Drosophila melanogaster: one gene and its partners. The protein of the gene in region 3 interacts with the protein of the main gene of each other region in a pairwise test. Each region holds a gene or a part of one and is shown on either strand. Other genes may lie near its edges. The genes, in order: inv, CG12299, CG31955 and Coop.

Region 1 (4,829 bases), on a different chromosome or scaffold from region 3:
GTACTCCATTCCTTTTCCTAATCATACTGCGTATAATTGTTTCTTTTGTCGAGGGCTGGAAATTAAGCCTGATTAATTCGTTTGTCGGTGCTTATACTATCGCAGTGTCGGCATCTGGCATTGGCTTCTTTGTAATGGTGCAACAAAGTTATTAAACTGGCTTGGATTGCTTTGCATTTCGGGGCGTGGTTCCACCAATACGATTCGAAGCGATAATAAAGCGCGGACAGCCCGAAAAACTCCATGATTCGGGCTTTATGGGTTCAACAGCAGCGATAAAAAGATCGCTGGAATTCCGATATTTTATGTCCAATCTGTCGGCGATAACGGAGAAAAGGTGCAACTTTGATAGTCGATTTCAGATATGAAATATGATACATTAACCGATTTCGGCTGTGTCACTAAAGAGGTCCGCAGCAAATGATGCAAATGAATGCAGCCATTCCTAGAAATCTTTTCGTGGACTACAACAAAGTTTTCTGATTTAATTAAAAGAGTGATCGGCATGCCCTGCACAACCTCACTTCAAACAAGGCAAACTCGTTTTCACCCCACACATGACACACACAAAAATGTCTCAAATACTTGAAAGGAAAGCTAAATACAGATTTATGAGCACAAAGCACAGCAACAATGCAGTATGTTCGCCAATTAGACAAGCCCAAGCAAACGTATGTCAAATTTTCATTGGCGGGAGAAGGGGCTACTTAAATTGGTCAGGAATGGAGGATAATTTCCATAGTACATGAACGAAGTGACTTAAATTCTAAAAATAATGTCTTATGTAAGTAATCATGAATATCAAAGTTTGATTTTTTTATTGATATCAGATTGATTAGCTTGTGGGACCAAATTTAAATTACAATTATTTTGGCATTACTAAGAGGTCTTTAAATGCCGGACAAGGTGTTCAGTAGAAACCCAGCAAGCTGATCATTATCCCCCCAGTGCTTTTGAATCTACGCCCATGATTAAGCGTATGCAATTGCACACGTATTGGTATTCATTTACGCAGAACTATCATCAATGTTGTCCGATGGGATGTGTGAAGGCAAAACGACAACAAACAATAAAACGGCGACAAAAAAGCATCAAAAGCAATTATGAAATCACGGCAGATGTTGGGGCAACAAAAATTGTGGTGGTGATTTATAAAGCGCAGCTAACAACAACAATGACATCAAAAAGCGCAAAAATGTTCGTTGTATCGGAGCAACAAGAACAATAAGTAAAAGGAAGCGAAGGAGTGAAGGAGACGGGGAAGCTGTGGCATGTGTTGTATATAAACAGGCACACACTCCATATGTGTGTGTGGGTATATAATGCTGGACGGCGGATAGGATGCCAGCAAAAAAGGACTGCAGATGCCAGACCGCAAAGAGGAGCGAAAGAAAGGGGGAGTGAAGTGATGATGATGGAGGAGGAGGGCGAGAGCAGCCTACATAGAGTGAGATTTACGACTTAAATGCTGCAGCGCATAATCAAAACGACAAGGCGCAGATGGAAATGGAGTGGAGTTCTTATCCCTATTTTCCTTCTTTTTCGCTTTTTTCTTTTTGCGGCGACGACGCACTTAATTAACAAATATACAAACACTTAACATAACCTCAACTGACAGGCGGCTGACCGTGTGCGCGAGCGGGACAACAGTAGGGCACGCCCCGCAGCCGCTGATTGGATGTTCGAAAAGCCAGAGCAGGACGGAGAGTGAGAGAGAGCGTGTGCGAGAGAGAGTTCTCTTTTTGAATCGGCTCTCAGCTGCAGCCGTCTCGCTTTGCTATTCAGTTCGCGAGAGAATCAGTTGGTCGGCGGTTCGTAACAGCGCACGTTACGTTTTTAACGGACGAGCGGATTAACGTCGGTATCGACAAGTTTATCACCCAACCCAAAAACCAATTGTCAATCGAAGACGATAGCGCGGCGTATTTGCCAATCCAAGTGATATCTTTTGGCTGTGGTTAATGTTTTTAATGCTTTCTGGCTGCCCTGAAATGCCGTCGGCTTTTGGTCCCTGTGAACTTTCGAGCTGAAGACCTAAGCCCTCAAACTGATGTCCACCTTGGCCAGCACTCGACCGCCCCCGCTCAAGCTGACTATTCCTTCCTTAGAGGAGGCAGAGGACCACGCGCAGGAGAGGAGAGCGGGCGGAGGTGGCCAGGAAGTAGGTAAAATGCATCCGGATTGCTTGCCCTTGCCGCTTGTCCAGCCGGGCAACTCGCCCCAAGTGCGGGAGGAGGAGGAGGACGAGCAGACGGAGTGCGAGGAGCAGCTGAACATAGAGGATGAAGAGGTCGAGGAGGAGCACGATTTGGACCTGGAGGATCCGGCCAGCTGCTGCAGTGAGAATAGTGTCTTGAGTGTGGGCCAGGAACAATCGGAAGCAGCACAGGCTGCGCTATCCGCTCAAGCTCAGGCCAGGCAGAGGCTTTTGATCAGCCAAATCTATCGACCGTCGGCATTCAGCAGCACTGCTACCACTGTTTTGCCGCCCAGCGAAGGTCCGCCCTTCTCACCCGAAGATCTCCTGCAACTGCCTCCCTCCACTGGAACCTTCCAGGAGGAGTTCCTGCGAAAGTCCCAGCTGTACGCCGAGGAGCTGATGAAACAGCAGATGCATCTAATGGCCGCCGCCAGGGTGAACGCTCTCACGGCAGCGGCGGCGGGAAAACAGCTGCAAATGGCAATGGCGGCGGCGGCGGTTGCCACAGTGCCCAGCGGTCAGGATGCACTGGCTCAGCTGACGGCCACGGCATTGGGTCTGGGACCCGGTGGAGCGGTGCATCCCCATCAGCAATTGCTACTGCAAAGGGATCAGGTCCACCACCATCATCACATGCAGAATCACCTGAATAACAATGAAAATCTGCACGAAAGGGCGCTCAAATTCAGCATAGACAATATCCTGAAGGCGGACTTTGGTTCCAGATTGCCCAAGATTGGTGCTTTAAGTGGCAATATCGGTGGTGGCAGTGTAAGTGGGAGCAGTACTGGCAGCAGTAAAAATTCTGGAAATACCAATGGCAACAGATCTCCCCTAAAGGCGCCCAAGAAGTCGGGAAAGCCACTGAATCTGGCTCAAAGTAACGCCGCCGCCAACTCGAGCTTGAGCTTCTCCAGCTCGCTGGCGAATATATGCAGCAACAGCAACGATTCCAATAGCACCGCCACCAGCAGCAGCACGACGAACACCTCGGGGGCACCAGTGGATCTGGTCAAGTCGCCACCGCCAGCGGCAGGAGCGGGTGCCACAGGAGCATCCGGTAAATCGGGCGAGGATTCCGGCACTCCCATCGTTTGGCCAGCGTGGGTCTACTGCACCCGCTACAGCGATCGTCCCAGCTCAGGTGAGTCCAAGTCTCTTTAAAAATTTTGCTTCAGTTATCTAAGTTGTCTAGCGAAACATAAGTACAAATATTGATGAAATAATATTGTATATTTCTACGTTTAACGTACTTTTTATGAACTTTGTGAATGCAAATATAGTTTATGAAATTACGTTTTGGTGTTTTGAATACTAATCTTCATAAGCTTGAAAGAAAAGCCTTTGGTTTCAAGTTTTCTCGTTAACATACGATTCTCCAGCACCATGCCAGTATTATTATAGATATTCTGTAGTAGATCCTGGCAAAATTTATTTACTTGCATATGTTTCTATGGATATTTCCTGCATTTTCTAAAGCATCTTACATCTTATGCTAAAGCAGTGCACTGCTAGTCACTCACTCTTTCTCCAAACTCAAACACACTCGAGGAGACGAGCTGTTGAGTGGTGGCTCATAAAGCGGTTGTGCAAACAAGCGACAGACACCACAGAAGAGCCGGCGAACGGAGCCAAACCACAGCAACCCACAGCTCATTAGTTTGCCAACCACCGAAATGAAGTGAGTGCGAGCGAAAGGGAGGCGAACACTCACCCCGAAGTGAAGTGTCTGCTCGAGTGGTTTTCATGTCCTTATGGCTTATGTAACATAACTTAAGCTCATTATGCCGCTACACCCCACCCACCCCGTGTGTGTTTTTGTGTGTGCAGCACCACCCCAACCCGTCGAGAACAACCCCAAAACAATCTCCCAGCAATCATGGCACTCTCATGAATTTAGTTTATGCCACCGCAGGGAATTCGTAATCGTTTGCCTAATAATTTCATGGCTGAAATTTGGGGGGGAATCGGATGGGTGGGAGTGCCCCATATGCTCATTTATGGGGTGGCTTATTGCTGTTTGAACAAGCAATTCGGATTCCTTGATAGTTTTTGGCTAATCCCCTGGAATCTCGGGTAAGTCCATGGATCATGTGGTTCAAGTGGCGAATGGAGAGTGATTTAAGCCACTTGATGGCAGTCATTTGGTTAAGGTGTTTACCTTTATTAGCTTGCTCAGCTAGTTTATTATCGGTAATGAATTGCCAAAGGTTTACTCAATAGACTGAATGCATTTTATCACAGATACTTGATATTATAACACAATATTAAAACGTTTAAGACCTTACTAAACTTTGGTGTTCAACAGAGTAGTTGACAATAGCATTATTCAATTACAATATCAGCCTTAAATGGGCATATAATTACGAGAGTTACTTTATCTTTAACTAGTTAAATTTAATTGCTTTATTAAGTATCATTGAATGCAATTTGTAAGATTGCCGAGCTCAGCTGTTTAAGCACTTACGACAGTTTTTAGCCAATTATCCACACGTTTTATAGATCTTAATACACCAGCTTGAAGAAAGTAACGTTGAAATATCAGTAAATAATTGTAATTCATCCATCAAAAGTCGTCCCTTCTAACTACCTGATTCCCAATTACACAACTTAGAAGCTTGGCCCAAAT
Region 2 (5,825 bases), 7.0 Mb from region 3:
GCTGTATGACCTCCTTCTCGCTGCCGCCGAGCGTGGGGCCATCTTGCATCTCATCATCCGCCTGCCTGTCCGTCTGCAGCAGGATGCGGTCGTAGAAGAGGGCGTGCAGCAGGCGCCACGTGTTTATCTCCTGTCGCAGCCAGGTGAGCATAGACTCGCGTTGCCGCGCGCCCTGTTCCCCACCCATGCCGTGATCGATCTCCAGCTCCAGCTGCTCCACCACGCCGCGACAGACTTGCGTCAGCGATTGGATCACCTCGAATGCCTCCTGCCCGTTACCCTGAGCCTGCAGCACGTCGAAGAACTGCGGGAAGAGCACGTCCATGCGGCTCTTGCCCCGATCCAGATCATCGCCGGTGTCCTCCATCAGCGAGAGCTCATTCTGCTCCGCGTTGCTCTTCTCGAGGATGAGCAGCGAGTGGGAGAGATTTTGCGGCGGCATCGAGCTGTTCAGCGTCGTGCGTAGCAGGCCACTGCGGCTGCTCCTCGGGAACGGGCTGTCGGCCATGGCTGCACTATGCGTTTCTTGGCTATCAGCTACGGCACATCAATTCAATTAATTTAATCAAAACAGAAATTCACGCGCTATTCGCTAAAAATGCCGGGAGCGTTCAGTGTTACCAGATGACGGAACAGCAAGAAAGCTCCCTTGCACATACACTTGTAAATAAGCGATTCTCACTGAATTCAAGCAAATTTCGTAAGAAACAAATTGATTTAAATTGTTTACATATCTAGTAATTCGGCAAAGCTGCTAAAGAATAAGGTACCAGCATTCCGTAGAATCATTAGTATGGGGTACCTCCATCGCGTACCGCAACGGCGTACCTGAAATGAGTACCACAATCGCGTAAAGAAATTCAAAAGGCATTTCAAATATTAAAGATCGATAAAAACGTTTCTTAACGAATTAAATATTTTAGATATAACAAATTCTGCTACTTAATGTTGACCGTGTACAAATAAATCCCAATGATCAGGCCGTAGAGACCGAGCACCTCGGCGAAAATAAGGATCAGGATCATGCCGATAAAGAGGCGTGGCTGCAGGGCAATGTGCCGCACGCCCACTTCGCCGACTTCACCCACTGCATATCCGGCAGCCAGTCCAGCAAATCCCACCGAAAGTCCAGCGGCCAGGTGTACATAGCCGGTGGGCAGCGAGTATTTGGGAGCAGGCGCTAGTTCCCCAGATAGGAGCACGGATACCACCAGACCGTATATGGCAATGATGCCCGCCATGACCACCGGAATGATGGACTTCATCACCAGCTCGGGACGCATCACCGCTGTGGCGGCGATTCCAGTTCCGGAAACAGCAGTTCCGTAGGCCGCTCCAGCGGAGGTCAGCACACTGGAGAATACGACGCCCATCACGCCATAGAACGGGGAGTACGGCGGATAGCGATCCAGCACGATTGGCGATATACTGGTTTCCTTCAGCTTGAGACTTTCAATCAGCCCCGGCACGTCCACCGAATTTGATCCGTTATACACTGGCAGATAGTAATCCATTTCCATTTTGGTAGCCTTTTTCGTATTTACTTGAAAAGGAACGATCCACGTTGCTTGCTTTCTGGATTTTCCAACTTGTTAGTCTGACTAGCCTGTAGTTTGGCAAGAAAGAAAATCCAAGGGGAACGAGATGAGCAGTTTATATTTAATATTAATATTATTTAAGATGTTAGGGCTCAATTCAATAATTTTAGCAACTTGTTAAGTGAAATTAAACACTAATAATAAAACTTGCTTAGATTTAGGCACTCGAAATTAAATTAAATATTATTAAATGTTTAAAACCTTCGAAAGATGTAACAATCGATTGCGGTTTGAATTTGAAGCTGCGCGGTTTATCGGTCATCATGCTGGCGACGTGCACGAAACGCTTGCATGACGATATGCTGCCGTCCAATCGTGCAAGGGCCGCCCAACATAAAACATTTTTCTTTTATTTGTTGTACGCACGGCGAAGACGCTTGCAATTGCGATTTTGGCTCTGCAGAATTGCGATTGGGCGATGCGCTGCATTCGCTCGAGTCGCAGCTCCTGGCAGTCGCAGCTAACCAGACAACGGGTCGGAGGACGGTACGCGATTCCGGCGACCCACGGAACCGAGCAGCCAAATTCAAAAACAAGCGAGCACCGAAAACAGGAAGCAAGTTATTCGCATTTCGCTGGCGGCGCATAAAATGGAACGCAGTGGACGAATGTGGACGAGAGCCCTGAGAGAAACACAAAAGCACGGAACCTGAGCAACAGCACACACCAGTGATATAATAGTAGTCTACGGAACCCCTGATCCACGGCACTTCGCATCTAATCTCACCCAAGGTACGGCATTGATTTTTCTCCCCGCAAACGCGCATTTTTATTATAGAGAAAATGTTCACACGCTCGTCGCTTGTGTTCCTTGTGATTTTTGTTGTTTGATTTGCACAGCCTTTTGGCAAGATGGCCGTGCAGCTGAAACAGAGCTACCACCACCTGCCCCTGACGATCACGCCAATCCTGCAGCAGACGCACCTCCTGCCGCAACAGGCACCCAATCCACCCCAGCAGCAACCGCAGCAGCCACAGCCGCCGGATCTCACCTTCCACTGCATGTGCTGTGCGGAGTTCTTCGTCCATCCGCTGGCGCTGTACCAGCACATGAACACCCTGCACCCCCATGAGCCGGGCAATGGACAGCAAGAGCAGGAGAGCCCGGGCGACGAGAGCGAGGACTACAGCTGGATATTCGAGCCGGTGTGCGAGCTGGCGGAGGATGGCAGCGACTCGTCGGATGGGAGCGCCTCCTCGGGCTCCGACAGCTCCTCGTCGTCGGACGACGACGATGACGATGACGACGACGACAGCAGCAGCTCCAGTTCGAGTTCCAGCAACTCGAGCTCATCAAGCAGCTCGGTGCCGACCACCAGCAACTCCAATACCCAGCAGAGCCAGGAGTCAGTGCAGCCACTTCACGGCCTGGTTGCCGGTCCGGGCTACAATGAGTTCCAGCTGCAGATGACAGATCCGCGGGAGTCCACCTCCATATTCATGGTGCAGCCGACCGTAAGCGTCACGCCCTTGCAGCAGCTACTACCACCGGCACCCACTGTTAGCCCGGGATTGGGCCTGCAATCGACGCCCATCAAGCGGCGGCGCGGAAGGCGGAGCAACATCGGTGCACCCGTGATGGATCCAGCGTTGAATGGCAACCAGAAATGCTTCCAGTGCACGCACTGCGAGGCGAGCTTTCCCAACGCCGGCGATCTGTCCAAGCACGTGCGCTCGCACATCACCAACAAGCCGTTCCAGTGCTCCATCTGCCAGAAGACATTCACGCACATCGGCAGCCTGAACACGCACATCCGCATCCACAGCGGCGAGAAGCCGTACAAGTGCGAGCTCTGCCCGAAGGCCTTCACGCAGTCCAGCAGCCTGATGGTGCACATGCGCTCGCATTCGGTGCGCAAGCCGCATCAGTGTGTGCAGTGCGACAAGGGATTCATCAACTACAGCTCGCTGCTGCTGCACCAGAAGACGCACATCGCGCCCACGGAGACGTTCATCTGTCCGGAGTGCGAGCGCGAATTCAAGGCGGAGGCGCTGCTCGACGAGCACATGCGCATGCATACGCAGGAGCTGGTGTACCAGTGCGCCATCTGCCGCGAGGCCTTCCGCGCCAGCTCGGAGCTGGTACAGCACATGAAGAACCACATGGGCGAGAAGCCATTCACCTGCTCGCTGTGCGACCGCTCGTTCACGCAGTCGGGTAGCCTGAACATCCACATGCGCATCCATACCGGCGAAAAGCCGTTCCAGTGCAAGCTATGCGACAAGTGCTTCACACAGGCCTCCAGTCTGAGTGTTCACATGAAGATCCATGCGGGCGAGAAGCCCTACCCGTGTCCCATATGCGGCAAGTCGTACAGCCAGCAGGCGTACCTCAACAAGCACATCCAGGCGCACCAGATGGCTTCGGCCGCCTCCGCATCCACGTCGCCTGGCCTGCTGGTCGCCAAGCAGCCGCACGAAACACTCGTTTGCATTGTCTGCGGATCGTTGCATGCGGATGCCACTGCACTGGCCAGCCATGTGCACAGCCAGCACGCAGCGCTGCTGGACACGATGAAGCAGTCCGGAATGAACACGGCGCCGGGCGGAGCGATTCCAGACGTCAAGTGCAGTGCAGAGGAGCAGCAAGCCTATGTGGAGCGGGTTCAGTGCGTCCTGCAGCAGATGAACCATCAGCAGCAGCATCAACAGCACCAGCAACAACCTCCGCAACAACAACAGCAACATCCGCAACAACAACAGCAGCAGCATCTGCAACAACAGCCGCATCAGATGCAGCTACCGCAGCAGCCCAAGTTGCCAGCCATGGACTCCACCGGCGAGGACGAAGAAGAGCCCGACGAAGCGGAGGAACCGCCGGATGAGGAGGAGGAACAAGATGAACCAGAGGAGCCGGCGGAGGTGAAAACGGAAGTGCTGGCAGCAGAGGACGCTCTCACCAATCCGGGCTATCCCATTCTCGGGCTGCAGGAGGAACAGATCCTGCTAGACTCTGACATGTACTACGAGGACTTCGGCGACATGGACGTGGGCTGTCAGGAGGAGGTGTTCGGCGACTTTGTCGTCAACGAGGAGGAGGTTTACACCGATGCGCTCATCTAGATCTAGGTACTAAGATTTGGCCATAGTTTACGAAAGTAATTCATATTTACATTGAAAGGCACGACAGTTCTTAACTACGTTTGGATCACAAAATGTGCTGACCGCACTTTTTTTATACACTTAATTTTGTTTAATGATGTCGTGTGGTATTACAGAGAAGACATTTGTCGGAAGTGTTCCAAAAGTACTTAACTCACAGTTTATCGTTGTTAGGTTACCATGTAGGATTCCCAGAGCACACAACAAACCTTCAAAGTTTCAACTCGGTACGCGAAAGATCAGTTACTTATCTATTAACCATGGAACCACCAAGAACCTTTTTTTTTTTTACTAATCATAAGATCAAAAGCGATTTTGTGAGCATTCCCAGTACAACTTGTGGCACATTTTGGGCAACCGAAAGCGAAATTCCAGTTTTGTATCTCATATCACACGAAGCCCACACGACTAAAGAAGATTGTCCAGGAAATGGACGTATTGTATTTGCATAGTATCTTACAAAGATATTACATTTTGTTAGTATTAAGCCCTACTTTATGCTGCTCATTTTACATCCCAAGGGATATACCCTTACCCAAGTTGGAGCCACAACGACTCCAACTATTCCACGTCGCGTATTTCCCAGAATCGCCTGAAGAGATTACATTAATCGTTATATTTAAGCACGCAGACTTGTCTTTTTTGGGTAAGGCTTTTGATTTATTCACTGTTCTAACAGTGGAACTCTGGTAAGAGGTACAGGATCATAATGGTTTTTATTGTATTCATTTGTGTGGACTCTTAAATCCTAGTGAAATTTCCCGCTGCAGAAGCGCCCATCTTGTCAGGTTCATTCAAATCCAGTGTGGGATCCGTCTCCACCACTCCGAACATCCCAGGCAGTAGATAGCCACCGGTCAGCGGATAGCCCGGATCCAGTTGCTCGGGCGGAGCGATGAGCACATCGTCACCCTGGTAGACGTAGGGCAATCGGATGATCCAGTAGGCGCTCTGTGAGAGGCGAGGCGGTACTATGCTGCCCATGGTGAAGGTGTACCTTCCCACGCACACCTTGGGATCCACGATGATGTTGACCGGCGCCTTGGGCGTCACCACATGGATGCGCATCAGCTGCGCCAGAAAGTTGTTCTGGGATCGGCAGGGACAGGGATAATAGAGCGGCAT
Region 3 (3,123 bases):
GAATTTGTGAACCTGTAATTGCGTTTCCCAACGGCGGACAATCAGCTGCTCCGTGCCGGGATCGACGGCACAGACCATATAGCGATATTCCGTGTCACAGTGACGCGGAATATAGATCTCTCCTGTCCACAGATTACTATACTCATTGTCCTCCTCATTTTTGGACAAAATAGCCGCTCCCGAGTGCTGCCAGTTGCCCAGCGCCTCGCAATTACCCACTATGGCCAACTGCTCGTTGGGCGCCAGATCCTGGTTCATCAGCACCCGAAAGGTCCACAGTCTGTTGGTGGTAATGTCGCCAAAGATCCGGCGGGACTCCAATCGACTGCCGTTTTCCGAGGACGCAGGACAGGATGATGGCGCAGCCATCGCATCCTCATCGCCGTTATGTGAGGCCAGCCAGTTGTGCATTCTGTGGGGATGGATAATAATTAATATCTATATATAATCCTTAGCTATATACACTTTGAATAATAGTAGTTAGCAGCAAAGAACTAAACTAATTGTTGAAACTCAGTATAATTGTATTGTATTGCATGCGCACAAGTAATTTATGCCAACTCTCTCTTTTTTTCGAGTACTACTGTGCTCGTTAGCGTATACGCACTGTACTTCAATTATTTTCAGCTGCGGTCACAAGTTGTTTATTGTATCGAGCGCAAGTAATTCGAAGATATTAACACAACATTAATTTCACTTGCAGTCCGCAATTGTTTTTGGTTTCCCTTATCAGTGGATGACGTAAATAAATAACTTGTATCACTTACTTTGCGTTGTTGTGTGCTGAAATAGAAGAATAAGCCGAAATCGCTTTGTTTGGATTCGATTTCTCGCTCTCCTCCACTTTCTCTCTCTTTGATTTTCCTAGATTTTCTGTGATTTTCCTACGCGTACACGAAACTATAACAAACGTGTGCAAATTGAGGAGTCGCCCGATTTTTTGATCATAGCAGCTGTTTTTGGTTTTTGCTCACGGATTTCAGCTAACAACACATGATGTTTTTCTCTTTTCGTGGCGGGGGGGCTTAACTCTATAATGTGGATATAACTTTATATTATCTGAACGATTTCAGCGCCGCAGGGGCTTCCGATCCCCTTGAAACTGTGAGTTGCATTATTTTGTTATCTATATATCCACTGACCGATTCTAGCGAGGGATGTGAAAAGTATTTGAATGTCAAGATATCGATAGGTTTTTGATGAAGTAAATATTTTCACAATGCTAAATGCCTAAAGCACTTAAAAATAGTAGATGCCTTTTTAGATATATACTACATACTACTTACTTACACGCACTTAAAATACAAGTTTTATATTTGATATTTGAGCGCATTCTCACAGGTTGGCAACGCGAACAGCTGATTTTTAGGGTGACCGTCTTCCGCAACAGAGTATCTCACAGTTTTCGAAAAGTATCTCAGCAATTTAGGCAAAGTTTCTGAACTTTCAGTTACTACTTAATAAAAAGTTTGTTGGTTGTTTACCTAGCTCAAGAGATTCTTTCAGATTTAATTTAATAAAACCGGTAGCTTAGGATTATAAAATTAACTTTGACTTTATTTAATGTCCCTCCCGCGCGAATGCAGCTTAGTAAAAATGAGTCATAGTGTTCAGATCTGCCTACATTCCAGAAGCTTGCAGTATTCAGTAGACATCAGTCGAGCGCAGAAGCTCTTCGTGATAAGACGTCTTCAATTCAAATTTTTTTTATCGAACACACCATGGAGGGGGACAAGGTAGTTTTTCATAGTTCTGATCTACCATACGAATATTTATACGACGACGAAAAACACGTTTCGCACATGCCGGATTCCAAATTAAGTGTACGAAATATTTTGGATTCAGCTTACGCTTCTGCTGAAGGCAAAATTATAACTAGGAAACTTTCGCGCAGCATTCCGCCGTATCCGCATGCTGTTCGAGTAAAAAATGGCATTCGTGTTTATGAATACAGTGAGCCCAGAAAACAGAGCTACAAATCAAGTTTATGGAAGGAGGCCTACAATGTGAGTAGGAATCGAAGAACACATGCTGGACATTTTACTTGCTTTATTTCAGATACTCCACCAGCGGTTGGATATTGCCGAGCCAATCGCAGCAAAGGAACACGTGAGAACGCAGATACATCCGTGTCTGCACAAGATCAAAGGACTTCTAGATCCGGAAACCTGCATCAAGTGTCCGCGGTGTCATAAGTCCATTTCGTCCACCAAAGTTGTGAAAAGCTTTGCATAGTGACGAATGCAAGCCACCTTCAACATATATATCTATTATAGAGGTTCAATATATGCTCAAATCAACACATGCATTTATATATATATATAATATAAACAAAGAATGCAACAGCCCTACAGATGAATCGTCATTTTCTTCTGTCATTTTGCTAGCTGTAATTAAAAGGGAACGGGAAATGTGCTCTCGCTTACTGATTATAGATAATGACTTTGATTTTGAAATAAGGAATGCAAAGAATACTCATTTTCGTATTCACTTCCATTTTGGCGGACTTTCTTTATCAGTAAACAAAGTGGAAGAAGAAGAAACGAGAAAGGTAAACAAGTCAATACAAAACAGTTGTTTGGAAAATGTGCCATAGTTACCAAGTGCCTGCACCAATTTTAATATCAAAACCAATTATTGAAACTAGTTATATAAGTATTTTTATTTACATTCAATGCATTTATAAATAAAATAAATCAAATAATTTAAGCTTACTAAATCAATCAGCTTGTGACAGCCATCACTTTGATAACGATAGTTGGCAACTCTGCCATCGAACAGCTGTTAATGTTTGCCATTTTGGCGCGAAAATACCAGTGTAACAATTTGTTTATATATAATAGGATTTTATTAAGTTGTTTGTTGGACGCTCGTTTGAAACCAGTATGGATCAGTATCCGGACGAAAACGAGGAGTTCGAGCTGCAATACCAAGACGAACTAGAGCTGCTGGAGGACTTGCCGGACGAGTTTAACGCGTACGATGGACCGAGCACATCCAAACAGGCCGCTGAAAAGCAAAAGGAAAACAGAGCTCCCGTTGCGGCACTAAGAGATAGCACCCGTCTTGGAAACTCTACACTGGGATCGCCACAGCTGTCGCAGATTACCTTTGGAGCTAGCC
Region 4 (4,202 bases), on a different chromosome or scaffold from region 3:
AACCCGCCTCTAAGAGCTATTCTATTATGACCGGGAGTCAGGCGGTAGGTAATCCTTCCGGGGGGAACCGAAAGCGATGCTCATCCGCATCTCTGCCCCTGGAGGACGAGGACAACAACGTCGAGGAAGAACCCAGCCTGTCCACAGTGTAAACGACATCTCTATCACAATCACCATCATCATTATCATAACCGAGCGCAGGCGCTTTCGATTCGGTTGGGCCAGGCGATGTATTTGCAGGGCGCTTCATTACCATTACCACTCACTATAAATATGCATACTGTACGTGTAGTATATACCATATGTCTAAACATATATATTCCAGATTCTTAAATCGACATCTCTCATAACCCGTAAAGAATTTCTCTATTGTTAAGTGTGCGATTCGTCTATTTGTTACATGTGCGTGTGGATTCCGGAACCAAGTACTTATCGCTTATATATACAATATATTTTCGCTCAATCCTTGAGTTTCGTTGAATGTCAATAAATGTAATATGTATATCTGTAAAGTCAATTCTATTGTTTTGTCGATATTTGACCAAATGTTTTAAAACCTCCAATAATTTAATGAATTTCAATTCTCAATTTACGAAAGTAATGTATGATCAGAAAAGATAAATATATATGTACATCGAAAGCTTTGTAGACTCACAGGTAAGATTCGCTACAAATCAGATACTAATATTACATAAAAGTACATCTTAGATATCTTAGATGAGCATGATTTATTTTATTTGGTTCAAAACAAAGTATGCATCATATTATTAATTTATTCGGCCTAGTATTTTCCCCTTTAAAAGCCTTTGTTTACATATAGAAGAAACAATATTTAAACGAAAATTAACCAAATTTTATCAAATATGCATTAGTTTAATCGCTACTTAAAAGACAAGCTGACGGATTTCAAATAACCATCTTAACGAAAGATCAATCGTACTCCGTATTCCCTAAAAGTTAACCGGATCGGAAACAAAGAACCGGTCCGTATAAATATACATACATATCTCGTATACATAGATACTTAGGTATGTCTGTATCTTTTCCCCAGTTTTCTTTGCAAGGCGTTCTTGAAAATGGCCAATTACGGTGTTGGATTCCCATTTATTGGCCGCATGTCTGTCCACGTACATTGTGCATACGAATGTGTGTGTGTGTTTTTCGCACTGTGGGTAGAAAGACGAGTATAAATTGCGGCGAGGATCAAATGTCAGGCTGAAACCCAACCGCAAAGCTACAGAAGATCTGATAAATAACCCCGGTCGCCACTTGTCATGTCTGCTTCACTTGCATTTTCGCAGTCCCAAGAAGAGGAGACTCAACCCGAAACGTGCAAGCATACACGTATAAACATTAATATGTACGTGTGTACACATATACAGACAACGGATACAGTCTTCGGTTCCAGGCTCACGATCGTTCCAGCTGGAGCTTTTGTTCCCACACACCCTCGTCTGTATATAGAAATGTACATATGTATGTGCGCTGTGGCGGTGGCTCCACTGGCGTGGCGTGAATTTTGTACGTTCCCTCCAGCTCCATTTCCAAGCGACCCAGCCAGCCGACCGTAGTAAAATCCAGTTTTGATAAAAATAAACAAAGTACACTACACCGCTCTCTATACGCTACACTATGAATTTCCAGTCTCTGCGGCTGGGTCACCTGGAAAAGGATCTCCTTTCGCGTAACGGGAGGGTGGGCCATAGAGCTCTATGTAAAGACTTTTACCGCTAAAGCGCGTGACATGTCCGCTCAAGTCGCTGTACGGGTGGAATTCTATTGCAATAGCCGTTTTCGGTGCAGAGCATATTAGATTCGTTACGGTGGGCTCACAATGGCGAAGTTAACAACCGTAAAAAGCGCAAATACGACACAGAGTTGCGGCCAGCGCAGCGGAAGCTTAACATCCGGATAATATTGCCAGGCAGCTCAGTTGTTGTTCTGCCGCCTCGCCTGCGCCTGCTTCTTCTTCTTCTGCTTCTCCTGCTTCTTCTTCCTCTTCTTGGGTCTTCTGTTCGTGGCAAAGCCTGTTGCTCAAGCCTCTCTCCTCCTTCCCGATCCCGCAGCTCCGCCTTCGCCTTTGCCTGTGCCGTCGCAACCAGCTCCGTCCGCTCTTTCCACAATTCTCTCTCGGCACCGCCAAAAGGCACGTAAACTGGTTGTTGCTGGCTGGGCCGTACACTTCGTGGTGCCCGTATTTTTCGTATTTTCAGTGCTGCCTGAACGCTTGAGCTGCGCGAGTCGCTTGCCGGGAAACTCGGAGTTGGAATCGGAACTGGATCTGGCTAACTAGCTATCGGGCTATCGGAAATTGGCCACTCGGATCTGGACATGGAGATGGCCTACAATGCGTCATCGTCGGCGGCCTCCGTCGGCTCTGCTTCTGCCGCCGCCTCTGCCACCGCCTCCTTCGCCTTCACCAACACCGCCAAGCTGCCCATCGAAACGGTGAAGCGCCTGATTGCCGCCGTCTCACGACGTCCGATGTTGTGGCTGCGCAACAATGCCAATGGCCAGAAGCGCAGCGACATCACGCCTGTTTGGTTCGAGGTGGGTCAGGATGTGAATTTGCCAGGTGAGTGTATGGCTGACTATTTCTCCTCTGCGCTTTCCGCTAAAATGACTCCCCCCTTTCACAGCCGACATCTGCCGAATTAAGTGGGGCCACCTGAGGGACAACTTTCGCAAGGTGTACATCCGCAATAACCTGTCCAATGAGACGCCCTCGTCGTGGCGCTTCTACAACGATATGCGGTTCATGGAGCCCGCCGTTCACGAGAATATCATGCGTCAGACGCGAAGCAGCAGCAAGAAGCACCCACCCGGACACTGGACGGAGAACAATAATGTGCTGGGGCCGGACAAGTATGACTCAATGCCCATTGTTGCTACGGAGCCCATATGCGAGCTCAGCCACAGCTATGACTCGGAGCTACACCAGCCCAGCTTCTCGGACATCAGTTCGTTCTTCGAGGATCGCGACTGCCAGCCGCCGGAGAATAAGAGATTTAAGTCGGAGCCCAGTCAGAGGGAGGAGGACGAGGAGGATGACGATGACTTCGACGAAGATGCCGCCTCGGAGAACTTGGAAGAGGAACGCGGCAATCGTGCCGATGCTGCCAGTTCCGGTGTATTCACCATAGAAGTGCTCGATGACGACGACGAAATGGAGCAGGCGGTGACCAAGACCAAGGCGAATAACACTAGCCACGGCGGATCCAGCCTGAAGAGCGAGCAGGAGGCCAAGGTGTTCTCCAATTCGCAGTCACCCACCGCCGATCTGCCATTCAAGTATATCAGCACGGATGTGGCCACGAATACGGATCCCTCTGGTGGAGATCTCCAGGACGAGGCGGATCGCATGTTCCTGCTCAGTCTGATGCCCTTCCTGCAAAGATTGGACAGCCGCCGGCGTCTGCGCGTGCGCCAGAAATTACAGAACGTGCTCATCGAGGAACTGGAGTTTGGCTGAGGACGCGTATATCCGGGGGAATGTGGGGAGATTTACTTTATAAGCCTAGCTTACAGTATTATAAGAACGCGACTGACTAACTCTGTGAATCTGCCTACATACGTAGCATGTAATCAGTATTCCGGCCTGCTTTCCTTCATACCAACACACTTCAATACATACCATATTGCATTACAATACATATTTACACTTCAAATAGACGATCACGCCAGCATGATTACTTGTTTCTTCCTCAGGATAACCGCTCACTTTTACCTGTATCTGCGCTCCGGTGCACCTGCGCCTTTTACCTGCGCACCCCGCCCGCAGTTCGAGTTCCCAATTATCCACGGTCACTGTTGCAATTGCATTTTTCCAGCCACGGGCGGCTCAAAATTTCTGTCAGTGCAAAACAAGTTCTTTAAGGGTGGTGCACGCGGCAACAACAACAACCACAAGGTGATTCCCTCCGCATTTTCGCGCCACATGCGCCGTTAATGCTAATGTACCGCGCTCTCGCTCGCTCTCTCCGCTCACCAATCACAATGCGCTCCGGATGGGCGAAACTTGGTCGAGCCTAGGCAACTTGATAATTCCCTTTTGGTGTGTTGTGTTTTTTGCCTGAAAACATCTCCCCATGTTTTAAAAATGATTCAAAGCTTTCGTTGAATAATGGCGGGCTTAACAGTTCTGCGATTTGCTTAATAGGGTCCAATTGGATGGAGTTTAACTTTCAAAAACTTTCGCTAAA

Evidence for each region.
Region 1: the proteins of CG31955 (region 3) and inv interact in a two-hybrid assay, tested with the Drosophila melanogaster proteins (one large-scale study listed by BioGRID).
Region 2: the proteins of CG31955 (region 3) and CG12299 interact in a two-hybrid assay, tested with the Drosophila melanogaster proteins (one large-scale study listed by BioGRID).
Region 4: the proteins of CG31955 (region 3) and Coop interact in a two-hybrid assay, tested with the Drosophila melanogaster proteins (one large-scale study listed by BioGRID).

The regions. Positions count from the first base shown.
Region 1 is NT_033778.4:11,473,926-11,478,754, forward strand, and holds the start of inv (invected), read left to right. Parts: upstream 1-1,782; 5' UTR 1,783-2,050; coding exon 2,051-3,344; intron 3,345-4,829. UniProt on the Drosophila melanogaster protein: Engrailed (en) and invected (inv) are functionally redundant transcription factors in neuronal precursor cell NB5-3 specification.
Region 2 is NT_033779.5:10,735,438-10,741,262, forward strand, and holds CG12299 (uncharacterized protein), read left to right. Parts: upstream 1-1,907; 5' UTR 1,908-2,330; intron 2,331-2,438; 5' UTR 2,439-2,450; coding exon 2,451-4,661; 3' UTR 4,662-5,325; downstream 5,326-5,825. Other genes in the region: Nup107 (nucleoporin 107kD), read right to left, coding at 1-508; Vha16-5 (vacuolar H[+] ATPase 16kD subunit 5), read right to left, coding at 939-1,520; CG6729 (uncharacterized protein), read right to left, coding at 5,442-5,825.
Region 3 is NT_033779.5:3,711,381-3,714,503, reverse strand, and holds CG31955 (uncharacterized protein), read left to right. Parts: upstream 1-1,637; 5' UTR 1,638-1,721; coding exon 1,722-2,006; intron 2,007-2,058; coding exon 2,059-2,235; 3' UTR 2,236-2,278; exon of another isoform or gene 2,279-2,350; intron 2,351-2,435; 3' UTR 2,436-2,623; downstream 2,624-3,123. Other genes in the region: CG2818 (uncharacterized protein), read right to left, coding at 13-411; cutlet, read left to right, coding at 2,886-3,123.
Region 4 is NT_033778.4:7,490,319-7,494,520, reverse strand, and holds Coop (corepressor of pangolin), read left to right. Parts: upstream 1-1,931; 5' UTR 1,932-2,331; coding exon 2,332-2,575; intron 2,576-2,639; coding exon 2,640-3,472; 3' UTR 3,473-3,685; downstream 3,686-4,202. Other genes in the region: CG1620 (uncharacterized protein), read left to right, coding at 1-152.